3 linked regions of the Arabidopsis thaliana genome follow. The protein of the gene in region 3 purifies or fractionates together with the protein of the main gene of each other region. This does not show direct contact. Each region holds a gene or a part of one and is shown on either strand. Other genes may lie near its edges.

Evidence for each region.
Region 1: the proteins of PHOT1 (region 3) and UBQ10 purify together in Arabidopsis thaliana (affinity purification with western blotting, with the first as the bait; one study listed by BioGRID). This does not show direct contact.
Region 2: the proteins of PHOT1 (region 3) and PKS2 purify together in Arabidopsis thaliana (affinity purification with western blotting, with the first as the bait; one study listed by BioGRID). This does not show direct contact.

Annotation. Positions count from the first base shown.
Region 1 is NC_003075.7:2,713,465-2,723,264, reverse strand, and holds UBQ10 (polyubiquitin 10), read right to left. Parts: upstream 5,289-9,800; 5' UTR 5,011-5,288; intron 4,723-5,010; exon of another isoform or gene 4,707-4,722; coding exon 3,333-4,706; 3' UTR 2,957-3,332; downstream 1-2,956. Other genes in the region: AGD13 (ARF-GAP domain 13), read left to right, coding at 586-625, 766-847, 1,150-1,225, 1,343-1,506, 1,592-1,739, 1,823-1,945, 2,031-2,126, 2,212-2,493; AT4G05310 (Ubiquitin-like superfamily protein), read right to left, coding at 7,253-8,500. UniProt on the Arabidopsis thaliana protein: Ubiquitin exists either covalently attached to another protein, or free (unanchored).
Region 2 is NC_003070.9:4,873,955-4,883,116, reverse strand, and holds PKS2 (phytochrome kinase substrate 2), read right to left. Parts: upstream 5,612-9,162; 5' UTR 5,461-5,611; coding exon 4,132-5,460; 3' UTR 3,810-4,131; downstream 1-3,809. Other genes in the region: AT1G14300 (ARM repeat superfamily protein), read left to right, coding at 1-300, 404-463; SBH2 (sphingoid base hydroxylase 2), read left to right, coding at 1,333-1,557, 2,256-2,810; AT1G14270 (CAAX amino terminal protease family protein), read left to right, coding at 5,922-6,176, 6,350-6,447, 6,649-6,756, 6,923-7,005, 7,089-7,222, 7,310-7,359, 7,434-7,526, 7,602-7,693 and 2 more; AT1G14260 (RING/FYVE/PHD zinc finger superfamily protein), read right to left, coding at 8,687-8,866, 8,954-9,040, 9,113-9,162. UniProt on the Arabidopsis thaliana protein: Acts predominantly in the phot1 pathway. Involved in the leaf positioning and also in the phot2 pathway controlling the leaf flattening. Component of the network that modulates the very low-fluence response (VLFR) branch of phyA signaling.
Region 3 is NC_003074.8:16,812,312-16,825,361, reverse strand, and holds PHOT1 (phototropin 1), read right to left. Parts: upstream 8,642-13,050; 5' UTR 8,447-8,641; intron 7,016-8,446; exon of another isoform or gene 6,819-7,015; 5' UTR 6,806-6,818; coding exon 6,105-6,805; intron 5,566-6,104; coding exon 5,383-5,565; intron 5,110-5,382; coding exon 5,018-5,109; intron 4,923-5,017; coding exon 4,655-4,922; intron 4,560-4,654; coding exon 4,337-4,559; intron 4,240-4,336; coding exon 4,169-4,239; intron 4,081-4,168; coding exon 3,974-4,080; intron 3,891-3,973; coding exon 3,841-3,890; intron 3,718-3,840; coding exon 3,613-3,717; intron 3,530-3,612; coding exon 3,470-3,529; intron 3,374-3,469; coding exon 3,207-3,373; intron 3,114-3,206; coding exon 3,029-3,113; intron 2,943-3,028; coding exon 2,862-2,942; intron 2,758-2,861; coding exon 2,654-2,757; intron 2,571-2,653; coding exon 2,521-2,570; intron 2,421-2,520; coding exon 2,314-2,420; intron 2,217-2,313; coding exon 2,088-2,216; intron 2,001-2,087; coding exon 1,836-2,000; and 6 more. Other genes in the region: AT3G45790 (Protein kinase superfamily protein), read left to right, coding at 1-209, 297-357. UniProt on the Arabidopsis thaliana protein: Protein kinase that acts as a blue light (BL) photoreceptor in a signal-transduction pathway for photo-induced movements.

The sequences.
Region 1 (9,800 bases), on a different chromosome or scaffold from region 3:
GATTGGAAATAGTGTTTTTTTTTGGGATTTTTTTAAATTAACAATTTGCTCTAATTTCTTTATTTAAAAAACGCAGAAAAAAATAATAAGATAAAAAGAAAAGTGAGCACGTAGTTGTCATTTGCAGATATTATCATTTGCCAATTTTCTTGTAAATTCACCTCTTTCCTTCGTCTATCTATCCTCCCTTCCGCAACATTGTAAGAACACCAAATCCCCTCTCATTTCCAATTTTTTGTATATCTTCTTGTTTCATATTTAGATCATCCAATCTCTAAGAATGTTAAAGGTCAAATTTTAAAATTTTTTTGTCGGTTTTTTTTTCCTCTCCGGTGTCGGAATCCGACAACGTAAGGATGATTCACATAGGTTTTTAATTTTTGATATGAAAAGAGATTCTTCTCGTGATTGGCCCATTTGTTTTGTTTTCAACAATGTTCACGTTTTGATCGCAAATTTAATTTGATTTCCATGATAAAAATTGGAACTTTCTTATGTTGTGATCATTTACAACAATTTGTGCGTGATGGGTTGTTCTCAATGTAGGATTTTGTTTGATGATCGTTGGGTTTTGAAAGAAGAGCAATGAGCAATTATGCAGCCGGACTCGGTAAGCCTGGCTCAGGTAATGACAGATTCTTTCTTTTGTGTGTGTGTGTGGTCGATTCTATAGATTTAGCGAAATTTCTTGACTTTTTCATGTTATAATGGCGTCACAAGGTTTCTGATTATGTTGTGATTCAATCCACATTGTGTGTTTAACAGGTAAAAGGAGAATCAGAGATCTTTTAAATCAACCTGATAACCGAGTCTGCGCTGATTGTGGCGCTTCTGATCCTAAATGGGCGTAAGTCATCGCTTCTAAGCCTCTTTTTCTTCTTCTTATCTTTTGGTAGTTTTGCTGATAAACAACATGTCATTTAGTATATAGCTAATCTTATGCTAATACAATATGTTTGGTTCTGTATGTTCTCTATTCATTTAGGGGTTAATCTCATAGAGTTGAATGTCTCACATTTCTTTACCATAACCGAAAGTTACTTATTCGCATTATGCGATTTGAGCTTCATCTACATGTTCTTGTGTCTTTAGTTATGTATCTTTGTGTTTGTTCTTATATTGAATAATCAGTTAGTAGCTTGTTTTCAGATCAGCAAATATCGGAGTATTCATTTGCTTAAAATGTTGCGGTGTGCACAGGAGCCTCGGCACTCATATTTCAAAGGTGATATATCTTCTTTGCTCTATTACATATTGGTTGTCCATTTGTTGTCTCTTTTCTTCATTACTCAAGACAAAATTAGATCTCTTTCGTTGTGTACTCATTGTTTGGTTTCTCCAGGTTTTGTCTGTGACACTAGATGAATGGTCAGATGAGGAAGTCGATTCCATGATTGAAATTGGAGGAAATGCGTCTGCTAATTCAATTTATGAAGCTTTTTTACCTGACACGTGCTCTAAGCCTGGACCTGATGTTAATCATGACCAGCGTATGAGATTCATTAGGTCAGATTCTAAAACAAAATACTCTGTGACAGGACAAATCTATTGCTGTTGTTTGTATAGTGACTTACTCAAAATCTTTATTTAGGGCAAAATATGAACTGCAAGAGTTTCTGAAACCAAGCTTGCGGATTACATCCGGGAAAGGCTCAACAAAGAGTTCAGCTTTTCTTACATCAAGTCTTTCTAGAAAGATCATGGATAGTTTTCGCACAAATTCATCATCGCAGACGATGGTAAAGCTTCAAACTTGCATAAGTTAACGTTTTCTTTCTTATACCTTTCTTCTTGCATGTTTTGAAATCGGTAAATTTGACAGTTTCAGGAAGGAATGGTAGAGTTTATTGGATTGTTGAAGGTGACTATTAAGAAGGGAACTAACTTAGCAATCAGAGACATGATGTCAAGTGATCCATATGTTGTGTTGAATCTAGGGAAGCAAGTAAGTGATTTGCTTTGCATCTTTTTATTAGCTTTACTTCTTGTTGATGCTGTGAATCTTGAGTAAAATTGTCTTGTTTATTCAGAAACTTCAGACAACTGTTATGAATAGTAATTTGAACCCGGTATGGAATCAAGAACTCATGCTGTCTGTTCCTGAGAGCTATGGCCCTGTGAAATTGGTAAGAGCAAATTCATTTTCTATTGACGATTTCAGTCATTGCCAAAGCTTATATATATATCTTACGGTTTCTTATGTGGTTGCAGCAAGTGTATGATTATGATACATTTTCTGCTGATGACATAATGGGAGAAGCAGATATTGATATACAACCTTTGATAACATCTGCAATGGCTTTTGGGGATCCAGAAATGTTTGGGGATATGCAGATTGGGAAATGGCTAAAATCGCATGATAACCCATTAATAGATGACAGTATCATTAACATTGTTGATGGGAAAGTGAAACAGGAGGTTCAGATCAAGCTTCAGAATGTAGAGTCTGGAGAATTAGAGCTAGAAATGGAATGGCTGCCACTTGACCAATAAGTGTCATATAGGTCTCATAACCTTTATAAATGTACTGATTGATTTAATTCTTTGTTTTTTTTTTTTCTCTCCATTTGTTGGAAATTTTCAAAAATCTCTTTGCATTTTTTTCCTCATTTCAGAGGTAAATGTATTTTGATGTTTGTATAAACCAATGGATTACTATATGATGTTTTGATTGATGGAAAAAGGGTGAAATATCCACTTATGTAACATACACTTTCACTTGTGATCATCAATTTACTTGAGAGTCGTTTCTTCAAAGTTTCAAACTTTCCACAACAGAAACTCTACTTAAGATGATCAAGGCATTGTCAAATGAAATGCTTTGGAAGGAAGAAACTGCCTCTCCTTCGTTAAACCAAGCTCAGTATCTTGCAGTTTCCTCTCATCAGACATATCAATGCTTGGACAAAGGTACGAACCATTTTCTACATTTGTGGGACATTACAGGCATTTCTTAGCAACAACGAATGTTCATCATACTCAGAACCTAAAAGATTAACATGTTCAAGCCATCCTTAGAACCCAACAGCTCAACACTTTCGCTACATCTATTACTAGAGGCCAACAATTGGACTATTTACAAGTTTCGCAGAACTGCACTAAACAGAGTCGAGTCACTTTGCAGGCGTATTAAACAAAAGAAGCACAGATAATAAAAACGAAGCGATGATAAAGAAGAAGTTCGACTTGTCATTAGAAAGAAAGAGATAACAGGAACGGAAACATAGTAGAACACTTATTCATCAGGGATTATACAAGGCCCCAAAACACAAACCACCAAAGTTTTACATGAAACGAAACATTGAACTTCTTAAGCATAACAGAGACGAGATTTAGAAACCACCACGAAGACGCAGGACCAAGTGAAGAGTAGACTCCTTCTGGATGTTGTAGTCGGCCAAAGTACGTCCATCCTCAAGCTGCTTTCCAGCGAAGATGAGACGCTGCTGGTCCGGAGGAATACCTTCCTTGTCCTGGATCTTGGCCTTGACGTTGTCAATGGTGTCGGAGCTTTCCACTTCAAGGGTGATGGTCTTTCCGGTCAAAGTCTTGACGAAGATCTGCATACCTCCACGCAGACGCAACACCAAGTGAAGGGTCGACTCCTTCTGGATGTTGTAATCCGCCAAAGTACGACCATCCTCCAATTGTTTTCCGGCAAAGATCAACCTCTGCTGGTCCGGAGGGATTCCTTCCTTATCCTGGATCTTGGCCTTCACGTTGTCAATGGTGTCAGAGCTCTCTACCTCCAAAGTGATAGTCTTTCCGGTGAGAGTCTTCACGAAGATCTGCATACCTCCACGCAGACGCAAGACCAAGTGAAGTGTGGACTCCTTCTGAATGTTGTAGTCAGCCAAAGTTCTTCCATCTTCAAGTTGCTTTCCGGCGAAGATCAATCTCTGCTGGTCCGGTGGGATACCCTCTTTGTCCTGGATCTTGGCTTTCACGTTATCAATGGTGTCAGAACTCTCCACCTCCAAAGTGATGGTCTTTCCGGTGAGAGTCTTCACGAAGATCTGCATACCTCCACGCAGACGCAAGACCAAGTGGAGTGTGGACTCCTTCTGAATGTTGTAGTCGGCCAAAGTTCTGCCATCTTCAAGTTGTTTTCCGGCGAAGATCAATCTCTGCTGGTCCGGAGGAATACCCTCTTTGTCTTGGATCTTGGCTTTCACGTTATCAATGGTGTCAGAACTCTCCACCTCCAAAGTGATAGTTTTCCCAGTCAACGTCTTAACGAAAATCTGCATACCACCACGGAGCCTGAGAACAAGATGAAGGGTGGACTCCTTCTGGATATTGTAGTCAGCAAGAGTTCTGCCATCCTCCAACTGCTTTCCGGCGAAGATCAGCCTCTGCTGGTCCGGAGGAATACCCTCTTTGTCTTGGATCTTGGCCTTGACGTTGTCGATGGTGTCAGAACTCTCCACCTCAAGAGTAATCGTCTTTCCCGTTAGGGTTTTAACGAAAATCTGCATACCACCACGGAGCCTGAGGACCAAGTGGAGGGTGGATTCCTTCTGGATATTGTAATCAGCCAACGTACGGCCATCCTCTAGCTGCTTGCCGGCGAAAATAAGCCTCTGCTGATCCGGAGGAATGCCCTCCTTATCCTGGATCTTGGCCTTAACGTTGTCGATGGTGTCGGAGCTTTCCACCTCGAGGGTGATTGTCTTTCCGGTGAGAGTCTTAACAAAGATCTGCATCTGTTAATCAGAAAAACTCAGATTAATCGACAAATTCGATCGCACAAACTAGAAACTAACACCAGATCTAGATAGAAATCACAAATCGAAGAGTAATTATTCGACAAAACTCAAATTATTTGAACAAATCGGATGATATCTATGAAACCCTAATCGAGAATTAAGATGATATCTAACGATCAAACCCAGAAAATCGTCTTCGATCTAAGATTAACAGAATCTAAACCAAAGAACATATACGAAATTGGGATCGAACGAAAACAAAATCGAAGATTTTGAGAGAATAAGGAACACAGAAATTTACCTTGATCACGGTAGAGAGAATTGAGAGAAAGTTTTTAAGATTTTGAGAAATTGAAATCTGAATTGTGAAGAAGAAGAGCTCTTTGGGTATTGTTTTATAGAAGAAGAAGAAGAAAAGACGAGGACGACTAGGTCACGAGAAAGCTAAGGCGGTGAAGCAATAGCTAATAATAAAATGACACGTGTATTGAGCGTTGTTTACACGCAAAGTTGTTTTTGGCTAATTGCCTTATTTTTAGGTTGAGGAAAAGTATTTGTGCTTTGAGTTGATAAACACGACTCGTGTGTGCCGGCTGCAACCACTTTGACGCCGTTTATTACTGACTCGTCGACAACCACAATTTCTAACGGTCGTCATAAGATCCAGCCGTTGAGATTTAACGATCGTTACGATTTATATTTTTTTAGCATTATCGTTTTATTTTTTAAATATACGGTGGAGCTGAAAATTGGCAATAATTGAACCGTGGGTCCCACTGCATTGAAGCGTATTTCGTATTTTCTAGAATTCTTCGTGCTTTATTTCTTTTCCTTTTTGTTTTTTTTTGCCATTTATCTAATGCAAGTGGGCTTATAAAATCAGTGAATTTCTTGGAAAAGTAACTTCTTTATCGTATAACATATTGTGAAATTATCCATTTCTTTTAATTTTTTAGTGTTATTGGATATTTTTGTATGATTATTGATTTGCATAGGATAATGACTTTTGTATCAAGTTGGTGAACAAGTCTCGTTAAAAAAGGCAAGTGGTTTGGTGACTCGATTTATTCTTGTTATTTAATTCATATATCAATGGATCTTATTTGGGGCCTGGTCCATATTTAACACTCGTGTTCAGTCCAATGACCAATAATATTTTTTCATTAATAACAATGTAACAAGAATGATACACAAAACATTCTTTGAATAAGTTCGCTATGAAGAAGGGAACTTATCCGGTCCTAGATCATCAGTTCATACAAACCTCCATAGAGTTCAACATCTTAAACAAGAATATCCTGATCTGAAGAATGTGGAGGCTTTAGTCCCTTGGATACTTGGGAGGCTGTGGAAGAACAGAAACGAGCTGGTGCTTAAAGGGAGGGAATTTGGAACCAATGAGGTATTAGTAAGGACACAAGAAGATGCAGATGAGTGGATTAGAAGGAAAGAGGCTCAGAATGTAAGGAAAGCACCAACCACAACACCGTCGGGACAGACGAGAAACATGGGAAGCTCCACCACAATCTTGGGTTAAGTGCAACTTTGATGGGGCATGGCCAACAGAAGGATTAAAATGTGGCTTAGGGTGGGTGCTTCGCGATCATACAGGGAAGGTGTTATGGTTAGGTGCAAGAGCTGTGGTAAAAGTAAGAAGCGTGCTGGAAGTAGAAGTGGAGGCTCTTAGATGGGCTGTGCTGTCATTATCCCGATTCAATTATAGGAAGATCATTTTTGAGGTGGATTCTCAGCAACTTGTGTCTTTGGTTACATGAAAGTTATGCTTGTCAAGTCTCAATCCAATTATCCAAGACATAAAGTATCTACTTAGCAAGTTTGAGGATTTTATGCTTGTGCATACAAGCCGAGAAGGAAATGGAGTGGCAGATAGAATAGCTAAGGAATCTCTTTCTTTTGAGAATTATGATCTAAAGTTGTATTCTATTGTACCAATTTGGGTTAAAAGCTCTGTTGAGCTAGACTGTGTATCCATAAATGGGTGAATGGAAAGTTTGTTGTTGAGCCAAAAAAAAAAAAAAAAAAATCATCAGTTCATCATATTGGTAGTCTTGTTTGATAAGTTCTGCTTTTTTTACCTTCCAGTTTTGCCATTTGATGTTGCAATGAGATTTCTTTTGCTAATGTTTTAAAATAACAAAGTTGTTGCTGCTAGTGTTTCCAAGTTGTGTTTGCTGAAATTAGGGTTTGTAACTTATAAGAGAAGCTTGATCGCTGCTTTCGACTAAAGGGAATTCAATAACAACAAGTTTACTTGAAGAAAAATATTAAAACCTAGAAGAAAAGAGTTACACCTACAAATAGGATAAAATCCACATAAATTTCTGTTACTAAATGTATCATAGTTTTGTTTCTTCTATGTATCTACATATACTCAAAAATTTCAAAGCATTGTGACTTAAGGGCCAGAAGAAAACTTGAAGAAAGATTAAAACCTATTAGCAAAGAGTTAAAGATCCACATAACTTTCTGTTGCTGAATGTATCATAGTTTTTGGTTTCTTCTGTGTCATATATACAGACTTTCTACAGAACTTTTTGAGCACAAAGCATTGTGACTTTAGAGCCACGAGTAAAAGACGAGGCAAAATGTGTATCACGTCCACTAACCATATAAACTGTTTCGGCTGGAAGAACACGGTTCCACTCGAATGACTGATCTTCGTTCAATACTCTCTCTTTCTTTCTGTCCACAAAGAAATATCCTTCGTGAGGCATTCTTATATGACCCCTCCGACCACTTTCAACCAACTCGGTTCTCAGTATTTTCACTTGATCCGTCGAGTTCACATCCACCTCAATAAATCTCTTCAGACCTTTACACTCACTTGAAGCTGCCACCACATATACTTTAATCTTCTTCTTCGGGTCAGTGATCTCTTTGACTGAGTTTGACGCTGGAGATTGCTCCATTTGAGGCACTTGAACCGTCACAGACGAATCTTGAATCTTACTGGTCTCTTGGATAACACGTCTGGGAACAATCACAATTGTATCCAAGGGTTTAACACTGTTACACTCGTATGACTGATCTTCGTTCAATACTTGATTATTGTGCGTAAAGATGTACCCTTCTTGAGCCAGTTTCATAAGACCTCTCAGTGTTTTCACCTCATCCGTAACTTTCACTTGCACCAGAATATTCGTTGGGACTTCATTCATACCAGGATATGGCGACACATATACTAGCATCTGCCGGACTCTTTTTTTTCCGTTAGTGATCTTTTTGACTAAGTTTGACTGTGGAAATTGCTTCGTTGGAGGCACTTGATCGTTGTTGTTCTTACTCGCAAACTTCACAGACGAATCTTGAATGTTAACGGTCTCTTTGACTGAGTTTGACGGTGGAGATTCCTCTGTTTGATGCGCATCTTGAATCTTACTGATGTCTTGGGTTGTCTCAGGCCGATAACTGTAAATCTTTCTGATCTCTTCCTCTGTCAAAGGCCAATCTTGCTCCGCAAAGTACTCTTCAACTGAAATCCACGGTGCTGGAGGAGATTGCTCTGTTTGCGGGATTTGATCGTCGTTGTTGTGAATAGGGTTCACGTCAGGAGAGACTTCGAGTTGGATTTGAGAATCGTGGAAGATCTGGCATTGGTCGAGGTTAAGATCTTCTCGAAGAATAAAAATGCCGTCGACGATAAGGGTTTGTTTCGAAACTGGGACACGTTGAGACTTCTCGATCTTCTGTTTGACCACTAACAATGTATCTGTGCGTTCCACTTCAATCTCGAACGATGAACCACCCAGAATCTCGACCACAAACTTCATGACTCTATCAATGGTGTTTCAAGATCAATGGAGACTAATGAAGAAGAGAGTCAAGAAACAGAGAGAGCGAGAGAGAAAGTGATTGTTTTGTAAAGATAGTTCACGATAGAATTTGGTTTTAATATCATTCATTCACATATCAAATGAACCGCATTTGGGCTTGACCCATTTTTATTGGGTTACGTGGCTCTTAAGTCAATGAAAGCCTCACATAAAATCATCAGTATCTATGCTACAGTATATTCTTACTTATATTATCCAACGGTAATGTTATAAAAAGATTGATTAAAACTATCTAGATCCGACCCATTAAACCGTAAATCTACAAATCCGACCCATTAAAGATTCTTGCCGGAGACGAAAGGTATTCCGATTGAGGAGATGGGTCAAGTGTGGAGGTCACACTGGTATTGGTCAAGGTTTGTAGAGGATGGGAGTATGGGAATGCGCTTGAGATGGGGAAGAGCAGTAATTAAGCCGGAACGAAGCATGTTTGATTTATCATTGTTTTTTTAATGAGAGTTTTAAGAAAAAGAAAAAAAAAGATTTGTAAATGTCGTAGAGGAAAAACTGTACTAGCCTAGATATATATATTAGTGTTTATATAAGGGTAAATTGCAGGCCACACCCGTTGACCATGTTTTATTTCCATGGATTGTTAAAGTCAAATGTGGTTTTCACCATTTGTCTTTTCGCCTGCAAAATGACGTTTCTGCCCTTGCGCTTCTCTCTTAGTAACTGTTGAAATGTACGGTTTAGTTTAGCAGGTTTAGTTACGTACACTGTTCCGATTCAGTTGAAGATTTTTTGTTTCACGTTGACGCGATTCGGTTCCGTTACAAGTGAGATTATTTTCATTATTCCGAAGTGACATCAACATTTAATGCCCCAAAAAAGTTTAGATGTGACTATTGTCACAATTAATGCAAAATCATCATTACATCAAATAATATTAAAAAAATTATTGATAATAATTAATAAAAAATTAAGAACGTACATTGCTGTTGAAGAAGTGTTGATCTTGTTTTTGTACCAAGTTTGGAGCCAAAACAAGCATTGCTCGTGTAAGTAATGAAGTTCTTTTAAGAAGTTTTTTGTTATGTCATATTAGGATCTTGATTGTGTTTTAACTCCATTTTTTTATCAGAAAATTTGCAAAATCTATATTTGTTTGTTTAAAATAGTCAAATGATAATTGGTATTTAGGTTTATAAATGTGTAGTATCGACATTCCATTTGTTTTTTATATGTATAGTATTTTTCAGTTGCATTTAATGTGTGTCTCCTGAATTTATGATGC
Region 2 (9,162 bases), on a different chromosome or scaffold from region 3:
GAGCGAGAACCAGTTACTGATCCTGACATTCGCGTTCAGACACTCGAAGCTATATATTTGATCATCTTAGAGGTAAAACATTTCTCTGTCTCGCTTTCCCTTCTTGTGAACTCTTGTGAAGGACCAATCAAACCCAAAACTTACAAAAGGTCCTCTGTTATGTCAAAACTACTTTTGATGTTGCAGGAGGCAGGTCGAAGGGCATTTTGGTCAGTCAACGGCCCACGGATTCTACAATTGGGATACGAATATGAAGAAGATCCGAAAGCAATGAGAGCCTATGAGCAAGTCGGTTCTTTGGTATGTTCACTCCCTCTAATCTCACTCACTGACTAACTCTACAGGACTTAAGATAGCATCTTTCTCACTATTAACCGTTATTTGCTGTGCCGTTTTTAACCAGCTTGTTGAGGAAGCTGGAGGTCCGGAAGAGTCGTTGGAGCCAACAAAAGCAGAGTCTTGAAGTTCATTATTTGTTGTTCTCCGACTCTAGTCCCCATTATTGGCTGCCCTCGCAAAGTAAGTTACTTATCCTGTTATGAAAGAGTTACTACTACATCTTGTGCACTACTAGTTGTAACACTAGATTCGTTATTGACTTACGCGATCTTATTAGTGCTCCATTTTCTATTTTTGGTTGTAATTTTATTTTATATTAGACATTATAGTATGTTATCTTCGTTAGACAATATATTTGTGTATTCTTACACACATTTTTTGCTACTTCTCTAATTGTTTTGAATCTGAATCGGAAATCAAGCAGAGAAGATCTAATTAAACTACTAATGAGTTAATGTTTTTTACATATTTTATAGAAATATCAATTAATAAACGATAAACACCACATTATTGCCAACCCCACGAGGTAGCCACCAAATGTGTCCACAATTGTACAGATAAGAGAACAGAGAGGCAAAATCAAATCAATGATTTTGTTTTTAGACTTTTATGTTTTTTGGCATGTGTTTCTAATCATATTTTCACCATTCGTATATTAAATTTTTAATATGTAGAGATTGTAATTAATTAGCACACATTAAAATTGAAACCAGTTGGCGCCTTGACCATTCGTTTAAAGCCACGTGGAAAATTCCGAATAGTTGGGTCCCACCTGAAAAATCACGTTAGATCTCTTCATCATCTCCTCCTCTGCATTTTCTTCTCCTATTCTTCTCGACGACGAAAGAAAACACCGAAGCAACGAGGAAGAAGAAGATTATAATCTAATCTCTCCTTCGTGTAGTTTAGCGAAGAGTGATGCGATTTTCTTCTGGCGGTGTTTGATTTCGTATTCTCGAGTTGTTGTGGGGGAGAGATTGATTAGAATTAGAGATGATGAGTTTCGTGATTTCAGATGAATTTCTGGGGACATTTGTGCCGATTCTGGTGTATTGGGTGTATTCAGGGATGTACATTTGCTTAGGATCTTTGGATAAATATAGATTGCATTCGAAGATAGATGAGGATGAGAAGAATCTCGTTTCTAAATCTGCCGTCGTTAAGGGCGTTCTTCTTCAACAGACTCTTCAGGCTATTATCTCCGTTATTCTCTTCAAGGTATTGAATCTCTCTCTCTCTCTCCCTTCTTTGAACATTGTGGCAAATTTGTGAATGTTATAGGATTTTGGTTGTGGATTATGCTAATAATGTTGTTGTCCTCCTTGTGCTTCTTGTTAATCTAATTTTGTGGTTAGTGAACTTAGGTCGATGAGAATGAATTAGGGGTTTTCTGATTTCAATTCACCTTTTGTTGTCCTGAAGCTGTTGGATCAAGGTTACAGATTTAGGCTGCATTAAGAATAGTTTAGATTCTGGAGATTGTTTGATGAAATAAAACTTGAATCTCCTGCTTCTTGCTGTTTTATATAGAGAATTTGCTAGATTGTTTCACTTGAAATTCTTGAACATAAGGCGTTACTTTAGAAAAGCTTTTACGTCTAGATTTGTGATTCCCTTGTCTAATAGTGCTTAGAGGAATACAATCTTTACCCTTCATCATTCACATGTGCAAGGTTTTGTTCTCTTGCATGGGAGACCGTTATAGATAGTCTTGGAATTTCTCACTATTTGTGTGTTTCAGAGTCGTGAGCTTGTGATGTTTCTCTGTATTGGAAGAAATTGATTGAGGTTTCTAGTTCTCATGTTATGGTACACTCTGGATATTTTGTTGATAGAGCTTCATATATTAGCATTTTGGAGCATTTGTTTCTTGTTTACCTGAAATATTTTGTTTGGAATTTGGTTGTTCTCTTTAGATAACAGGAAGTGATGCAGATGCTGCTACGACACAGCAATTTTCCATTCTACTTCTGGCTAGGCAGTTTATCATCGCTATGCTTGTAATTGACACTTGGCAATATTTCATTCATCGATATATGCACCTCAACAAGTTCTTATACAAGCACATCCACTCTCAGCATCATCGCCTTATTGTGCCTTATTCGTATGGAGCTCTATACAACCATCCACTAGAAGGTCTTCTCTTGGACACTATTGGTGGTGCTTTGTCTTTCCTCTTCTCTGGTATGTCCCCAAGAACAGCCATCTTTTTCTTCTCCTTCGCTACCATCAAAACAGTAGATGATCATTGTGGACTATGGCTTCCGGGAAATCCATTTCACATCTTCTTCAGTAATAACTCTGCTTACCATGATGTTCACCACCAACTCTATGGAACCAAATACAACTTCTCGCAGCCATTCTTTGTTATGTGGGATAGGATTCTCGGCACTTACTTGCCTTATTCATTGGAGAAAAGAGCCAATGGAGGATTTGAAACACGGCCAATCAAAGTATCCAAAGATGAGTAATTTCTCTTTCTTTCTTTTGGGGCTTCTTGTCAATGCTAAGTCATCATTTTGCTCGTTAGAGAACCACTGTAACCTTTGCGTACTTGTAATTGTACATACAATTCCAATCTATCCTTTTTTCGATCTGCGGGCATATGTTTCTGTGTAAGCCAGCAGTAAATTTATCTTGTAATAGCCAAAACTTCAGATCTTCTCTGTTATTATTATCTGCTTTATAATTCCAGGTTTTGAGACCTGTGAGAGTCTCATTGATCTCCTTTGTTACGAATTGACATACGCAGAGTCGTTGATTCTTTCTTTTATGCAAAGGGCTTCTCGCTTTTGTTGTTCTTATCCTCTCCAAACATGGCAGCAACGGGGTAGTTTTTCTCTATATAGTTAGTTTCATAGACTAAATGAAGTCACTGTTCAATTATTTCAAAAGTGGACCTTTGAAAAGGATACAATACTTATCTTCAAGATCTATTGATACTTTGTGACATGGTTGATTGGGTTTAATATCAAAAGGTTGTTTCTTGATTAGATCCAGCTGTAAGATCTGAATCTTGAACTAAAACTTTAAACTGTATGACAAATCAATCTTTTTCCCAAAACCTAACATTCCTCCTGAGTTGGTTACAGAGACATATCATCATCAATGACACAATTAAGGTTTTGTCGACGTCTACTTTATCTCATTATCATCACATGGTCTTGACACTGGAGATGAGTTCTGGACCAGAAGACTCTGGAGTGGCTTTTAAGACATGTTAGGTGAAAGGACACTATCATTGTTTGATTGAGTTTCCTCATTAAAGGCTCTTTTAGGCAACTCGTACGGTCTTTGATTAAACCGTTAAATCTAAGCCTAATGAGGTTATCTTTCTATTCTTGAGACAAGCACATGAAAATGAGGTGGACCAAATGTGTTTTGTGTCTAGTCTACGTGCTGCATTTAATTATGTCTCCTAAGTCAACAAAAGGTTACAATCACATCTTAATATTTCACATGGAATTGCACTCTTGGTTATGTCTTATTTGCGGATTAGACCCAAGTGTCTATTGTTCACATGGTGCAGTTCCTTATAATCTCTGGCAACAATAGATGAGTTCTTGGCATCACATTTCATCTTTTACTCATTTGTGGTCAGCAGATAAGTATTGATTGATGATACAGATTGATTTACACTTCTCTATCGACATTCTTCCTTAATAAACCAGTTAAATCAAAAACTACTGTTTTCAGGTACAACAATATGAAGATGGTATTAGCAAATCAAATATTTTCCACTCAATAGACATTTTACATGTAAAACGAAAGGAGCTCAGGTTTTTGGCATAATTAAGTATACAAAAAAGGCGATTGCGTGTGAGAAACAGAACTACTGCTGATCCTCCTTCTTGTTTCAGTGCTTGTTGGATTAGCTTCTACAGGGAATCTTGGAACATAGCTCGGTGTTCTGTTCATGCTTGTGTATGAATCACCAGAAACTCTGACAGATTTATGACTCTTGCATCCCATTAATAAACCGCTACTGCTAGATTTCCGTCTCTGAGGCGCGATTTCTCGGTTTGATTTTGCCATGATAGGGATTCGAGGAATCTGAAAAGACCGGTTCTTTTTGACGGGACTCGTAGCACATTCAGACATAACAGAGAAATCTGCTACACTTGCTGTCACTACACTCCATTGTATGCTTACCTCACTTGGTGCATAACCATCTGGTGAGTCTGGATCACTACTTCCTTGCCTTGCAAGAAAAGGGTTTGCCTTCCCTGTTAAGCTCTCAATCTCAAAAAGATCCGTACTTACATCGCTCACACTCCCATCTTCTTCTTCTTCATACTTCACAGAGAATCCATGTTCTTCTTTTTTCGCAGAGCTCGAGTATTCCCATGGAAATTTCTTCTGAATGATTCTCTTCTCAATAAGAGGAGATCCAAATATTTCCAGAGACTTCCTCTGCTCTAGCATTGCTTCTTGTTGTTGTTGATGAATCTTCATCTCCGAGCTTAGATCTCCAGAGAAACTCAATTGAGTCTTGATCTTCTTCAGACCAGAGCTTCTTCTCTTGTCGTCGACGACATCCACTGAACTCCAGTTCGAACACACGCATCTGCAGCCAAGAGTAGCGAGAAAACTCTTCTTATTACTCACCTTGTGATTGCTACTCATATCCTTCTCCTGAAAGTAACTGTTGCAACTAGAGTTTTTCTTGATGTTCTTCTTCTTCTCTACATATTTGCTCTGAAGCAACAAACTCTGGCTATTCCAACTGGATTCAGACCGAAGACTAGGAGTTTCCGAGGAATTCTTCGAGCTTTGCTTCGGACCAACAAAGATTCTCTCTATTGGAACTTCTGGATCTGGCAGAGGAGACACAAGTCTAGGACTGTGGTCAGAATCCATATCTCCATTGAAGTACTTCTCAGCTCCAAACACACTGATCTCCAAATCTTCAGAAGCTTTCTTGTTAATTCCAAGAACATCATTGGTGATACCACTCATTAGGTTCTTCTGGGTGAGAGCATCTTCCTTGCTTGTCAAGTAAGAGAAAGAAGTAGAAGAAGAAGAGAAAGGACCATAGAGATTGTTACTGTTATTATTATTGTTCATCATGAAATCAAAAGATACGTTTGGAGTTGAAGAAGATGAAGTTAAGGTCACCATTTTGTTTCTTTTTGTGTATTACTATTTCTTAGGGATGATTTAGATTTGAGTAATATAAATAGAAGAAATGAGGAAGTTCCTTGTTTTTTTTTTGAAGCTATGTCGTGTGGGTTCCATTACTGGGACAAGACTGCCTATTTGCCAGTGATTTTGTGCTAATGTATAAACAAAATATTAATTATATTTTGTCTTGGTTATAAGGAAAATGAAAAAAGAAAAATAGTGGACATGATTCTCCCAAGGAACAAAATTACAAATTAGAAGACACGAGGGATGTACGTATTTTGTGATATACTGACAAAGACTTGTCGTCGAGTTAGTTGGTCGTTAATGGGCTTTGGGCCTATACTGACATAAATGGGCCTTAAACAACGTTATTTTAAGTAAGTAACGGTTTTTTTCTACCCGCTCGTTTTAGTCGGATCTTATCCTCTTCCTCAATCTGATAATCGTGTTGGTTCATGTGTGGAAGTTCTCTAAGAACAACAGAAAATTTCAAAATGGTTTCTCAGATAATCTCGTGTTTATCTCAATCTTCGTCTCTTCTATGTTTATCCGATTCAAGGAGGTTAATTCTTCCGAAGACTTGTACTTACGGCGGTTTGAGCCGGTTTTCTCCAGGATTTGCTAGCCGCCGGTTATTTACGGTTAATCGGAAGAAATGGAGATCGGCCTGCATTTTCAACTCTGGAAAGGAACCTGGAGGAGAGGGAAAGGTTACTGTCTCACTGACTCTATCTAAATTAGATTCTTGTTTAGTTTCCGGTCTGAATTTTTCTGAGGCAGCTCTATGTAACTTGTTCAATTGAATCCAAATTCTATTGGAATGTGAAAAAAGACTAGACCTTTGAGAAATTATTTGAAGTTTTGATTGTTATATTTGTTGTAGTTACAAGGAGGTAGCTCAGAGTGGCCGATACTTCAGAGATGGGAAGTTCCATGGGGATGGCAGACAGTTTCGTTAACTTCGTTTGCTTGTGCACTAAGGTACTCTCATCAAAAGCTTTCCCTTTTGATGACTTTAGGGTTGGAGTTTGATGAAAGTACATAGACTGTGTGCTAAGATAAATGTGATGGTTGAGTAGACTGATCTGAAAGATAATCTCTCTGTTATGGTTAAATAGTTTAATGTTCAGTGACTATTCTCTGTGTAATGCATGGAGTGAGATTAATTTTGTTCCCAGGCAGTTTTGTTTTGACAGGATTAACCGAGATGGCAGTCATACCGTTTTTAGGAATCGACGTTGAGAAACTGACCTTGGACGATAAGGCGGAGATTTTGTTCCTGGATCAAGGGTAACCAAAAAAATACTACTCTTTTGTGTATTCTTTGCTCTTTTTTACTCTGTTAATGTAAACTCATTATATAATCTCGTTGCTTTAGCTGATTTCACATTGTAAAATTAGTTATCTCTCTTGAGGTTTGGCTTATGTTGAATAACATTGTCTAAATATTTGGCAGCCTAACAACCGCGGTGGTACTTGCTGTCATATTCACTGTTGCCAAAACCTTCGACCCACTTCCTGAAGATATTCTTCGCTATGGTACGTTTTTTTTTTTTTTTTTTTTTTTTCTATCAGCATGGTTTGCTCTTTTATTGGTAGTTGACTGTTTGTTCGATCGTCAGATTTGAGACAACCCGTCAACCTGCAAAAAGGATGGCTTGTGTGGGGTGGAATCGGTCTGGTTGGTGCTGTTGGTGCTATTGCGTTAACAGGTGTTGTTTTATCCGTGTTCAGGACAGAAGCACCTGAAAGGGAGGTTAGGAGAATTCAAAACCATGCTTTATGTTTTGTTTTCGAAATATTTGTTGGATAATAGTAATGAGGCCTAGTGTGATGTTTTCAGGTAGACTCTTTGATGAAGCTTCTTCCATTAATTGGATCCTCAAACATAAGGTATTTCCTCAAAGAAATAGAAACTGCGATGTGCGTTAATACTAGAATTTGATCACACATTGCACATAATACAGCACCTTAAGCTTAGTGGGCATAACTGGAATCCTTGCTCCACTTCTGGAGGAGACCGTGTTTCGCGGATTCTTCATGGTCTCTCTTACCAAATGGTAAAACCTCTGTTCTTTTTTCTCATTTGGTTCTGGACAAAAGCTTACTACATTTTGTTACGTTCTGTATTTCAGGGTCCCGACCCCAATAGCGATCATCATCAGCTCAGCTGCGTTTGCCCTTGCCCATTTCACACCTGGTGAATTCCCGCAGCTGTTTATTCTAGGTAAAACATAACTAAAAACAAAACCATTTGCATTTTCTCATGGTTATGAACATTTCTGGATGAACAATAAGTATCTTTTGGTTTAGGAAGTGTTTTGGGATTATCATATGCACAAACCCGCAATCTCATTACCCCAATGGTCATACACGGTTTCTGGAACTCGGGAGTTATTTTGCTACTCACTTTTCTTCAGGTAGAAAACTCATTCCTATGATCACTACAATGTCAAAATAACATATCAACTCTTAGCTTATGTTTGTTTTGTCTCTGTTGTTTTTTGTAGATCCAAGGGTATGACATTAAGGAGCTATTGCAGGCAAACTAGCTCTGAGCCATGCTCTTTGTGCTGTCCGCATTTAACATCAAAAAGCTTCATTATGTGCTCGATGTTAGTAAGATATTTTGTATTCGAGAACAGATTTCATACTTAATGCAATTTGGGTTTTGGTAGAGTTATCTTTATTACAACATCATGACAGTAATGTATGAACTAATATGGTAGAGATGAATCTTTTTGGAACAAAAAACAAATTTATTTACACAGATTACAAATTATGTGTCTCGTTTTTCTTTACCTAAAAAGTGAAATGCTCATCTCTCAATCAAGTGTTATTGAAAATCTTAATGCTACAGAATCAGAAACTCTTTAATCTACATACACAATCTTTCTTAGAATCGAATACTTGTAAAAAAAAAAACTCTGCACTAAGTTAGGACACTCCTTGTTTGTAAGAAAGCTGATTCAGAAGGACCATCATGTAGATCTTGTGATGGTTCTTGTTGCTACCAAATCTTGATTAACACCACATATGATTCAATGATTTCATCAGAAAAGATAGTTTCAATAGCTTTGCAAGAAGTGAGAAGAAGAAGAAGAGATTCTTCTTTCTACTTACTGTAAACCACTCTTTTAACAGCAGTTCATGAATCTTTTTTCTGATGAAATATTTGAAAAGCATATACACCTGAAACTCTTAGAGTGGAACTATAAAATCATGGCTCCATTGACAAATAATTAATCACGGGTCTAGGTTGGCGCGAGCTGAGCACCAACGCAAACCGAGTGGCCAAGTCCGCTGCTTCCTGTCTCTGTCTACGGCGATGCAGGATACTGATGGCTGATGCCATGATGTAGCAAGGAAGAAGAAAACTGGCAGCTCGGAGTAAGAAAAGCTGCAAGATGATTTTGTGGTTTGGAGTTAGAACTTATACGAAACTTTTCCAGTATATGCTGGAAAAAAGGAAGAAGTAGTAACTTACAGAAAGTATTGAAGAAGGATCATCATCTTCACTATCTGAATAATCTGGTATAGTCAGTGCATGTCGCAATAGAAGAAGAGTCATCAACTGCAAAAGAGAAGAGAAATTAGTAAAAATACTCGGGAGTAATTGAAACTTGTTGAGGAGCTTTAGACTTACTATTAAAGCAGCAGAGCGGAAAAATGCAGCTCCACTGGTATCTGAAGCTG
Region 3 (13,050 bases):
GATTACGCTGTTGACACGTGGGCTTTCGGATGCACAGTTTTGGAAATGTTAACGGGACAACAAGTATGGGGAGAACATAGTGATCTCGGTTCTGTAGATTGGGACATTCTCATCGGTCAAAGCTGTTACATTCCTTATATACCGGATTGGTTATCTGAAGAAGCACAGCATTTTCTCAGCAGATGTTTAAAAAGGGACCCTGCTTCAAGGTGGGGGATTGGTGCACTCTTGAACCACCCCTTTTTGCAATGTGGATCTATAATTGTTTAGTAACGGTTTTGTTTATTAGTTTTAAGTTGTAAGATGAAGTATCCAACTCTCTATTTGGTATGTGTTTCTGGAAGTTTTGGTAAATGATAAGAGACTTTATAACTTTCATTATTAGTTTGCAATTGCAGTTTCAAGTTGTCATTGTTTCAATTCACAAACTAACCCACTTTTTGGGTCATAAGTTGTCACTGAATATTTATCACAAGATTAGCATATACAGCTCCTATAAGTAGTCACTGTTTCAATTCTACATCAAAATTCACCTATTAACTGACCAGTTTTCACACCCTTCCCTCTGACAGCTTGCATGTTTTGTATCTGTACATCGCTGGAATCTTGGAATAGAGATTGCTAGCTCCTTCTGACCCGCCCATAGTAGATGATACTTTATTCCCTCCTCAAGCATTATAGCTGAAGAAACCTATAAAAGAAAAGACTGAAACCATCACAAAAGAAAAAGAGCTCGAGAAACTAATTTAGACATGAAAAGCTCTCAGATTTGGCCAGCCATACATACTGAAAATGTCAAGAACAATCACAGAGCAGATCACTTGACGCAATGTGAATGAATCAAATGAGCATTTCTTACTAAGTAACACAATAACTACTAAAACACACACATAGGATGCAGCAGAAACGGTGTTGCTGTGAGTAATTAGTCCTCCACAAAGTTATAGTTTTCTGAAACACAAACAGAACAAGAACACTTAAAAGATTCAAAGAAACATGGATCTAATCTACTCTATCATAATCATTCTGGTTTGTACCCAATTCAAGCCTTAATTCTGATTTGAACTTTTTTTTTTATGGTTTCCATTGTCTTTTGTAGCCTTCAACTAAATTATGAAAAATATCAATTCTTTGTTTAACTTTACCAATTTAATCACATGAATTCGCATTATAATAACTTGATTAATGAAACAAACAAAAACATATGCAAAACTTGATTAATTTTATTGACATATATAAAAAACATATTCTTAAGAAACTCACACAAATTATTAGAAACACTTGGCATTATAAATAAATAAAGATAATGGTAAAATGAAAATAATTAAAAACGAGATTTTTGGAGAACAAAGAGTTTCAAACAATTCTTGAAAAGAAAACGATAAACGTTTAGTCCAAATCTCAAAAAACATTTGTTTGCAGATCTTCTAGCTCAGGATCAACAACTTTCTCTCCGTTTTCAGCTTCACCAGAAAATATCGGAGTCTCGAGCTCTGGAGGGTTCTGCATATCAAAATAATCTCATAAGATGATTAGTTTTCTTCTTTCACAAGTAAAACCGAAATGTTTCTTATATACCAAGTAAAGAGAATGTGTGAAGTTATACCGTGCATCGAATCAGAGCCCAATTTATGCCTTTGAAGAAAGAATGTTGCTTGACTTCATTTGCTCCTTCAAAACAACCTAGTCTTTTCTTCGGATCTCGTTGTAACAGCCTAAAAATCAGCTGTTTCACTTGAAGACTTGCCTGCAAACCAATAACAGAACAATTAAATATGATCCTCGATTTTTATGCATGAGATTAGTTTATAGAAATATAGTGATTGATCCATTACAGGAATGCTAGCTGGAAACTTGAGATCTTTTTGAAGAACATTGGTGAAAGTCTTCTGTCTTGTTTTTCCTCTAAAAGGAGTGTATCCGTATAACATTTCATACATAAGTATACCAAGAGCCCACCAGTCTACTGCACTCGTATGTCCTGCTCCGGATATAATTTCCTATCCATATGAGACATCAACTACTGGTTAAGACAATGGTAAATACCTTAATCACTGTACTTAAATTGGTATATATAATATACTAACCGGAGCAATGTACTCTTCAGTGCCAACAAATGAGTTTGATGCACGCATTGGTTCAGCCATGAAGATTGGAGTTTGTTGACTCTTTTGTTGCTTTTTCTTCTTCTTCTCGTCTATACTCGGAATCAACAGCTACAAGATTCATTAATCACCCTTAATTAGTATACATGAGCAAACTCTCTAGTAGAAGTGGAAACAATCTGAAGGGAAAGGTTGAGAGAAATCAAACCTGAGGTTTGCAAGATGTCAAGCAAGACAGATCAAAATCCGACAAAGAGATATCGCCATTGCCTTGGATTAAAACGTTTTCCGGTTTCAAGTCTCGGTAAATTATTCCTGAATTTAAGAAAAATTACAAAGATCAACTTAGTATCATGTCAAGATTCCTTGCATCCAAAATTTTCTTTGTAATTAAAGAAGAGGTTGAATGGATTGCCTTGACAGTGAAGATACTCGAGTGCAACGACAACTTGAGCAGCATAGAATCTGAAAGTTCATGCAGGGTTTTTGTTAGTTCAATATTTAAGTGAAGAAATCTTGAGACTTTTTCGAGCGAGGAACACTTGTACCTTACAGCATCTTCTTTGAGAACCTTCCTAGGTTGTCGATCTAGGAGCATGAAGAGTTCTCCTCCTGGATAGTAATCTGTTATAAGACATATATGTGTTTTTGTCTGCAGAATAAAACATGATCCATTAGTAACCAAAGACCAAAGAGACACGCATATATATATATATATATATATATATATATATATGTGTAAACAGAGGTTTTGACCTGAAAAGAAGCGTAGAGTGCAGGAAGAAAAGGATGGTCAAGCAAATCTAGGATCTCTCTCTCAGCTCTAGCTCTATGTACCTGCAAAAAATTATATCAGTGGCTACAAAACTTACAAATAAAAAGCGAAACTCAAGATTCCTTGAAGTGCAAGTTACTGTAATTACTTTGTTTCGGTTAAGCATAACAGCCTTGTCCATTGCTTTCATTGCAAACAACTGATCTGTTCCAACGAGTTCCACTAGATGCACACTGATAAAACACAAATGGGATATTATAAGATTAATGAAGGAAATGTTCTTTTTTTTTGTAAGCTATTTCATTAGATTAGATAGAGTTTCAGACCTTCCTGTGTCACCAGAACCCAAAGGTTTCACCGGTTTGAAATGCTTCAAACCAATCGGTTCACCACTTTCCAACACCTTTTGGATAGCTATCCATGGTGGTGAATCTTTCCTGTGAGGCTTACAATGAACAACCTTTGAGTGGTTTGCCCATAAATCCTCTGGTGTCTTCAGAAACAAGACACAATAAAACATTCTGTCAGATATATTCTAATAAACCTTAATCTAAAATGATCATATTCAGATCCTTAGACAATCACTTACCATGTTGGCATCAGGAAGTTCTCGAACCGCTTCATCGATATTCACAGCTGTTTTTTTCACCTAAAGAATATAGATTAAGGTTTAATACTTGATTTTCTATCAAACGAATACTAAATCAAGATCAATAGTTTAGGATTCCAGACCAGGTCTTCTCCCTCTTTCACTGCGGTTTCTTCAATGACATTGCGAACTGGTTCTACGTGCTTGCTCCCGTCTAGTTGAACTCCAATAAAGTATTGTACTTCTCCCTGTCAACAACATATCAAAGAAAGAATATAGACATCTTCAGTTTTAAATTCATAAACCAAAAGAAATTGAGGATTAGTTTGAAGGTGCCGTATAATGCAAGATATCTATGTAAACCATTATACCTTCTGATCACGCATAGGTTGCAAGTGGAAAATGTTCCAGAACTTCTTTCCTGCCACAGAGAATATAATGTAAATTTAAAACTTTATACAATGATCGACAGATTAATCTAAGAATATCGAAAAAATCGAGTACCGCTCTTGGTGTAGTTGATGAGCTGAACTGTCACTTCGGTTTGGTTATCAATAGCATTTCGAATCTTCTTCACTGTGGTTAGATCAGTCTCTGGACCTTGTAGAAACCTAAAACCATGAAACAAAATTTATAAACACATGCTCTATGCTCAAAAATATTTTCAAAAGACATTTTGAGATCACATTCATGTAATACCTGCAATTTCTTCCAAGAATTTCTTCACGGCTATATTCCGTGAGCTCCAAGAAACTATCAGATGCAAAAATCTAGAAACATAGGACAAAGCAAACAATACGTTTTCAGACCAATCGAAATGAAACATAACAAAAAAAGTTTCCATTTTTCTAAAACATTTGTTCTTACAATGGGATTATCGGGAAGCCTAGGATCAGTGATGACGAAATTCTTCTCGATACGTTCGAGTGTAGTAGCTAGATCAATACCCTTTCTCATTTCCTTTTGTCTCACTTTATCATCCACACTCTCAGGTCTCTCGTCCCTATCACTAATCTCATCGTCTTCTTCTCCATACTCTATAAATCCATCGTCTATAGATTCATCCAAAGATTCGCTCTTCTTCTTGATCCTATCACCAGAGTATCACAACAATCATATCAAAGACTAAATCGATTTTTATAAAGTAATTGTCAGGTAAACAAATGATCTAGTAAGGATTATTACCCCATGAAGGAAAGGGAAGATTTTCTAGATTTTTTCTCGGGAATTTCGTTGATTCGCTGCATCGAGTTTCTTCTTCCGCCGCCAGAGTTTCTTCGGCCTGACGGAACAACATTTTCGGACATTCGCCGAGCTGGTTTTTTCGGAAGTTCATCGCTCTCCGATTTTGTCATGAAGGGATGGAGATTCGTCGATTCGCTTAGTGCCCGAGGTCTCTTCACCGCCTCTACTAGCTCTGTCACTGAGTTTGTCGCCATATCTTTTTGGCGGGCTTTTACAAAACAAAATTTGAAAATATTTTTAAGAAAACATAATAAATGGAAAAAAATTTGGAAAAACAAATAGAAAAAGAAAGTATGTAAATACCATCGTATCGAATCAGAGATTCCGGAAGCCCATTGGGCCTCAAAGCCTTTTCTTTGGCCCCTTCAGTGTGCTTGCTCACCTCCACTTGCATTCTGGTCCAAATAAACAAAACATATTGGTATCTTCTGATTTTTCCTCAAAATCATATTTTTTTATCAGATTCTATAATTCTTTTCTTTTTCCTGATTGATTATTCTCTTTTGTTATTCTACAATAGGATCCGTCGGTGATACAAATCTTTGAATTATTGCGGAGAAAGCAACACAAATCACAGGTCCACACTTAGACCCATTAAAAAGGGTGACATTTTGAATGAAAGAAATAAAGGAGAGAAACGAGTAAATAAAAAGGAATAAGGGACTAACCCGATAAATTTGAGGACTTTGCCACTCTCGTCTTTAATGGGAGCAATCGTGAGAAGATTCCAAAAAGAGGTCCCATCTTTCTTGTAATTCAATATACGCCCACAATAATTGTTACCAGCAGCTAATGTCTCTCTTATCTTTGCTAACTCATCTGCATCTGTACCTGATCCTTGTAAAAATCGGCTACAATAAAACAAAAACCCAAATTATGTTCTTTTCTTCTTTCTTTTTGTAAATAAAATTCATTCATTGAACAAAAAATGGTGGAAACTTTTGTAAGAAATTTTTCGAATTTGCAAAGAAATGTTCGATTTAAAAGAAATATTTTAAGTTATCATTAAAAAATAAACTTAGTTTATAAAAGGCTATTAGTTTGGAAAAACAACATAAAAATTAGGTTTATAAAAAGTTTTTAGAAATTTAGTAAGAGTTACTAAATCATTTAGGATAACCATACCTAAAACTTAATCTTTGTAATTTTGGTACACAGTTTCGAAAAGTTCTAAAAAAATAAAATAAAGTTAGGTTTAATTTTTGAAAATTTAGAAAGAATTACTAAGTCATTTAAGATATCTTTATACATTTATAGTAACCATAAACCTAAAAACAAAACTATGATATTTAATTAGAAAAAACTTTGCAATTTTGGTAATTATTACAGAAAACGAAACGTATTTTATATATTAAAAAAATGCTCTAAAATTTTTTGAATAACTTTTTACCAGTTTCTGCCGACGACTTCTTTGGAAGTGTAACCAGTCATATTGAAGAAACCAGCACTTGCATACATAATCGGATAATCAGGTTTTGTAGCATCTGAGACCACAAACGTTTGTTGAAACGTCGACAACGCATCTTTTAGATCTTCCGATACTCTTGGAATCCCACTCCTCCCGCCGGGAACATCTCCGTCCGACATCTCACCGGAGCTCCGGCAAGAGTTTTGCGAGTTTCTCTGCGATGTAGTCTTTTTCCCGTTAGGATCATTCTCAGTTCCACCAGAGTTCCTCACGCCTACTCCTTGTGGCTTTCCCGTCTTTGTATCGGTCTTCAAAACCAATCCCCACTCTGCCGCTCTCTGCTCAGCCGCCACCGCCGACTTCTGTGGTTTCTCGGCGGTGATCGTCTTCTTGGAGATTGTCTCCGGTGATGGGTCTTTCAGAGCCATCCATGAGGTCGTGACAGCGATTTCTTGATCAGACCGAACAGGGTTGGATGGAGCTGGTTCTTGTTGTGGTCGGGGTTGAGGACTGGTGCCACGTGGATCACTCAAGTTTTGCCACGCTGGTGGTTCAGGACGGAACACCGGGTTATCGGGTCGGGTCAGCTGAGTTGACGGGTTGAATACTTCGAGAGAGCCACGAGTGTCTCTAGGTAGAGTCCGAGAAGATGGTTTGGTCGATGGTTTTTCTGTTGGTTCCATCTTTGAGCTCTCTCTATACACGAAACAAAAATTGTGGCCAGAAAATAAGTTTATATATAATTAGTTTAATGGATAGACATAGATACCACACGCATGTGTGTGTATATGAATCGGCAAATAAAAATATTTATTCTCTTAAAGTTAGATACTATAAATATATGGTATAATATTTTATTGATTTCTAAAAATGGACACATGACCAAGTTCTTTTGTGGTAGATGGATGGTTTGATTACTGAAAATGAAAACACTATACAAATATGTGATATGTGAACTAATTAATAACGGTTAGATATGTCATATGTTTAGTCATAAACAGAATGGGTTTGACCATAAAAAAAGAAGGAGAAATAGAAAGGAAAGTTGATTAAAGTTTGAAATATCAGTACAATATATGGAAATGGTAGTATTACTTATATTTTTTTTTGTCATTTAACTTCTTCAAGTAGTATGGTACATATTGGAGTTAACCTCTTTTCATAAAATTAAAAATAACTAACTTGCATTAAATATTTATTAATAAGAGATTATGTCTACAATTTTATACAAAAAAATATAATATTCTAAACAGACAATGTGGTGGTCCATTTCTACACGGATCGAGAGAAATCCACTCTATATCACTTTGGTGCATTTCTACTAAGGCTGACTGGATATGTCGATATGATTTTACTAGATGCTGACCATAAATAATTCATCAATCACTCATTTTTTTTGAATCTTCAAAAATGTTATCATGAATAACAAGAATCTTGCTCTCTTAGGTGTCTTTCTTTTGGGAAATAATAGACTAGACATATCTAACATGATAATGAATACATGTTTTATATGAATGTATATGCATGCAGGTAACATTATTAAATATGGTTCAAAGAGTTATGGTTTATGGGGCCATAGATGAATGAAGATATGAACTGGAAAATACGCCAATTTTGAGAGTGACAATTCCAAATGAAGCGGGGGTAAAATTGAGAAAACGACACAAAGGTGTAAAGTTTCAATGCTTTTTTGAGTTTTTAGTACCACACAACACATGCATCTTCTAAGGGTGGTTTAGTCATTTTGGTATAAAAATGGACAGTTGTTCTATTACAAAAACAGTAGCTGAACCGATTCTGTTCGATCGATCACAGATTTCAACTAAAAATCTTTGTCTTTTTTTCATGTTCTTGTCATTTTATCAATTTCCACATAAATGAACTTTGTAAAATAGTTTATCACTCTATTTATATGAGAACAAATAAAAAGAGTAAAAAATTTCATGGTAAATAGGAAAATCTATTTTTATTTAAAAAAATTGAAATACATATCTTTATGAATTATGATTGGAGAAATTTTAAATCGAATTCAGTTGAGTTCTTGAAATATGCAACTACCATGTGATGTGTGACTTTCACAAAAAAAAGCTGACATTCAAATAATTTATATATATACTAGTTTCAGATCAAGCTAGTAGCTAGAGTGCTAGACGATATAAAATGATATCTACTTCACTATTTATATTTTTACACATACAAATTAAGGCCGAAAATGTGACAAGAACCCTAAAAAGATGAATAACATACAAATTAAAAAAATGAATCGTCCTAAAAATAGCCTAAGAAAGTGAGCAAGACAGTATAAATCGAAGGGAGAAAACTACCTTGCAAGTTAACTTGTGCTGGAAGAAACAGATTATCCTTCGATTTTTCCTTCACTCTCTAGTCGAGAGATAAACTGAGGAATGAGTTTGGGATGAGAAGTTAACTTTCCCGAGGCTTTTTATACAAATAAGGAAATTTTTTGATAAGAAGAGATTCTAGAAAGATTAAAAAACTATTTAGGTTTCATGATTGATTTAGTTCCGTTCTAGCTCCATCACTGGATTATTTGATCTTCCCATGCTTCGAATGTTTTTGATTCCACATGGCTTCTTTTGTTTACTTTCAAAAGATTGTATAGAAACGTAACACTAGTATCGTTTATCTATCTTCTGTATAACTCTGTCTTGATAATTAGATTATAAACCTGAATATACTCTCTTTGTCAAACAAAACCAGACCAAACATAAATATATATTCTGACTATGCTCAATATTCAATTTCTATGGCACTTATTGGAAACGAATGGTTTATATGACTTAACCAACAATTTTATGATGTTGGTTTGACAGTGATTAATCTAGGTTTTGGTATAGGACAAACAGGATTATAAAAGAGAATATTGCACAAAAAAACTTGCTTGTTGTAACTTGTGCGTATAATTGAAGTAAATGATAAATAAAACATTTGAAGAACACATAAGTGTGTGGAGTGATGGTTGTTCTTTTAAAAGTTTCTGTGTGTGTCAGTGACTATAAGTGGGAGTGAGTTGTCATTTGAAAACGCCAAAACCGTTCCCAAATGCAAATGCAGAGACCCAATATTACATAGATGTTCTCTTTCCACTTTTGTAATGGTAGAAATCTCAGTCTTTATGCATTGCAAGATATTTCATGCAAAAACATTAAAGAAGAACATACACTTTTATCCGATTTAGTGATGAAATCGAACATGGAGATCGGTACAGAAATCACAAACAAATTAAAAAGCAATCACATGTCATTGTTATATGCATTTTTGGTTGATTTATCAAAACTTTCTCTCGCTTTTTTTTTGTCAAAACTTTCTCTCTTTAAAATGGTTTTATTAATTCTGTCTCTATTTTGTTTTCCAAAAATCACTCTAATTATTAATTAGCAGATAACTTCCCTATACATTACGATGCATAAACAAAATATATTGCAAGAATATATAGCAGTTGTTAACCCAATCGATTTGGTATGCTATCAAATCATGGGCACAAATACAACCTTAAACTTTGGATAAAAAAATAAAAATCCAACCTTAAACAACCATGCATTTGATCATTTGCATATTCTAAAAAGCAATGTGTAACTAGTTTAACGGTGTAACAAATATAGACTAGCAATGGCATAGCGCCGATACGTCTCAGATTGAATAACTAAATATTTTTTAATTGCATGTAAATATTGTTAAAAAAAAAAACAGTATCATCATTTGTAAAATTTGGTATTAATATAATGACCCCACTACACTCAAATTCAGTAACATTTTTTTCTCTTAAAAGTTATATTATGATCCCGGTAACAAAAATGGATCTGCCACTACAGACTGGTCATCCCAAGCGATCACGATCACTATCAGGCTTGGTTAAAAATATCAGAACAGTTCAGATTCAAACCCTTTTGTCGGAAACCCTATGGACAAAATTTGTGAAGGGTATAATACAAAGAGGAGAGTATGGTAACATTTCATATACAAGTAGGACCAGAACCCATGTGAAGATTGATCAAAGAGAAAAAAAGATCTTAACGGGTTATAATCTTATCCATCATGTGTCCATTGTGGGTTTGAGTGTGTGGTGGGGGCTGAAAATGTTACATCAATCTTCACATATTGGCCGCTTAACTTCTCCCATTTTCTAAATTGACCCCTTTTTCTTCCCTAGACAAATCAAGATTCAAGATGGGACAATGACACTGGTTAGTTTACATCAATCTTCACATATTGGCCGCTTAAATTCTCCCATTTTCTAAATTAACCCCTAGACAAATCAAGATTCAAGATGGGATAATGACACTGGTTAGTAGTTACTATATGCAAGAATATCTACATTAGGAAAATTTAATATTTTCTAATTACCATTGTTTTTCTATCGTCATATATATTGTTTTGGTAAAATATACGATGTTGGTCTACTGATAGTACAAGTAGGAATGTTTACATTAACACAAATTGTTTTGTTTTCTCTCTCCCTTAAATATCATTGATTCTAAAAAAAAAAGCATTGTTGAGGTAAGTTCATTTACTAAAAAACCCTACCATAAAAAAGTTCATTTACTAAAGGACACAAATAAAAAGGAGATACGTTGAAGCTTTGAAATACTGATGTGGTATTTTACGAGACTTTTCTAATGCTCAAGGTATTATTTTGGACCACATGATCTGGTCGAAAACTAATAAGAATCGGAATACGAAAAATAACTTGCATCACTTATTTATCTTTTATAACTAAGGGGTAACCCATATTTTTACCACCAGACTAATACATCTAAGATAAGTGTAGGTGTTGAGTAGTCCACTCACTTGATTTTCTAATGGATCTAAAGCATGACACAATTTTGATTGTTCAAATATAATGGAGTAATTTAGTAACTTGTATCATGACTCTATAGGAAGAAATTAGAGAAAGAAATCCACGACGAACTTTTAATATCCAATGATTAATCTGAATCGATAAGAGATATATGTATGTTTGTTAAAAATAATAAAGAACCAACTTAGAGTTGACCCAATGATAAATCTCTTAGGTGGAGGTGTTGGATTCGACACAAGTTGGGAGAAATTTCTTATGAATTTAACATTATTTGCGAATGGTTTATGCCGGTTCGGCTTGGTTCACACTTGGTTTATTTTTCTGAGAATATACTCTATTAGATGCTGATAATTGTATAGTTACGGATAGCTTTTAGATCTTCTCAACTGTAGGGATTTTCCTAGATTCACGACGTCTGTTGTATAGTCGATCTATATATGTTGTATGCTTCTCTTGATGATCAATAACACATATACATTGTCGAACTCTGTATTCCTTTATGGTATCAGAGCCTGAAAAGCAAAACTCTTGATTTTTTTTTTCTCGACAATGTCAACTGAAAGCAACACCTCCGCTGCGACTGAAGTAAGGAGAACAATCTCTCCTTATGACCTGACTTCTGCTGATAATCCTGGAGCCGTAATCTCTCATCCTCTCTTGAAGGGAAGCAACTATGAAGAGTGGGCTTGTGGTTTTCGAACCACGTTGATATCACGGAAAAAGTATGGATTTCTCGATGGTTCAATTTCCAAACCAGAAGAGACTTCCCCTGATTTTGAAGACTGGACGACGATTCAAGCTCTTCTTGTGTCATGGATCAAAATGACAATTGAACCAACTCTTCGATCCACCATTTCTCATAGAGATGTGGCTCAAGATCTGTGGGAAACATCTGAAAAAGAGGTTCTCTGTCATGAATGGGTCACGACTACAACAACTGAAATCTGAGCTAGCTTGCTGCAAACAGAGAGGTTTGGCTATTGAATCTTACTTTGGCAAGTTGACTAGGATCTGGGATAACCTCGCCACACATCGTCCGTTGCGTGTTTGTCGTTGTGGTAAGTGTACCTGCAATCTTGGTGCTGCTCAAGAGGCAGATCGGGAGGAAGACAAGACTCATGAATTTCTCAATGGTTTTGATGAGCAGTTTCGGGCGGTCCGATCAACTCTAGTGGCTCGGACTCCCATTCAACCACTTGAAGAGGTGTACAACATCATTCGTCAGGAAGAGGACTTGCGTGTTCCCGTAGAAGAGTCACCGTCAATGACAGCTTTTGCGGTGCAATCCAAACCACGTCTTCCAACTGACGAAAAGGAGAAAAGTTTCTTCTGCAAACTGTGTAATCGATCTGGTCACACTGCAGAGCGGTGCTATGCTGTCATCGGGTATCCAGAGTGGTGGGGTGATAGACCCAAGGGTCGTACTCTACAAGGGAAGGGACGTGGTGGCAGTACGTCTCGTGGTGGCAGGGGACGCGGAGCCTCCCAAGAGGTTGCTAATCGGGTTTATGTGCCGAATGTGGAAAACGTGACAACTGAACAAGCTAATCATGTTCTCACAGACGACGACCGATCTGGAGCTCATGGACTGAATGATACCCAGTGGAAAATGATAAAATCAATTCTCAATGCGGGAAAACAACCTTCAACTGAACAACAAACGAGTATGTCTTCTCTCTCTCCTTGGATTATGGATACAGGGGCGTCACATCATTTAACTGGAAGGTTTGAGACCTTAACAAATGTGCGAGAAATGCCCCCTGTTTTGATCATTATGGCAGACGGTAGAGAGCAAGTTTCTTACAAAGAAGGTTCTATTAGTCTTGGTAGTCATTTGGTAATGAAATCTGTTTACTATGTTGAAGAGTTGAAAACTGATTTGATGTCTTTGGGGCAGTTAATGGATGAAAACAAGTGTGTTGTTCAGTTGGCTGATCGGTTTCTCGTGGTTCAGGACCGCATTTCGAGGATGGTGATTGGGTGTGGTAAAAGAGTGGGTGGTACCTTTCACTTTCGTAGTACAAAGATCGCAGCTTCAGCCGCAACAAAGGAAATCAAGTCATTTGAGTTGTGGCATAATCGGATGGGTCATCCGTCGACGCAAGTGGT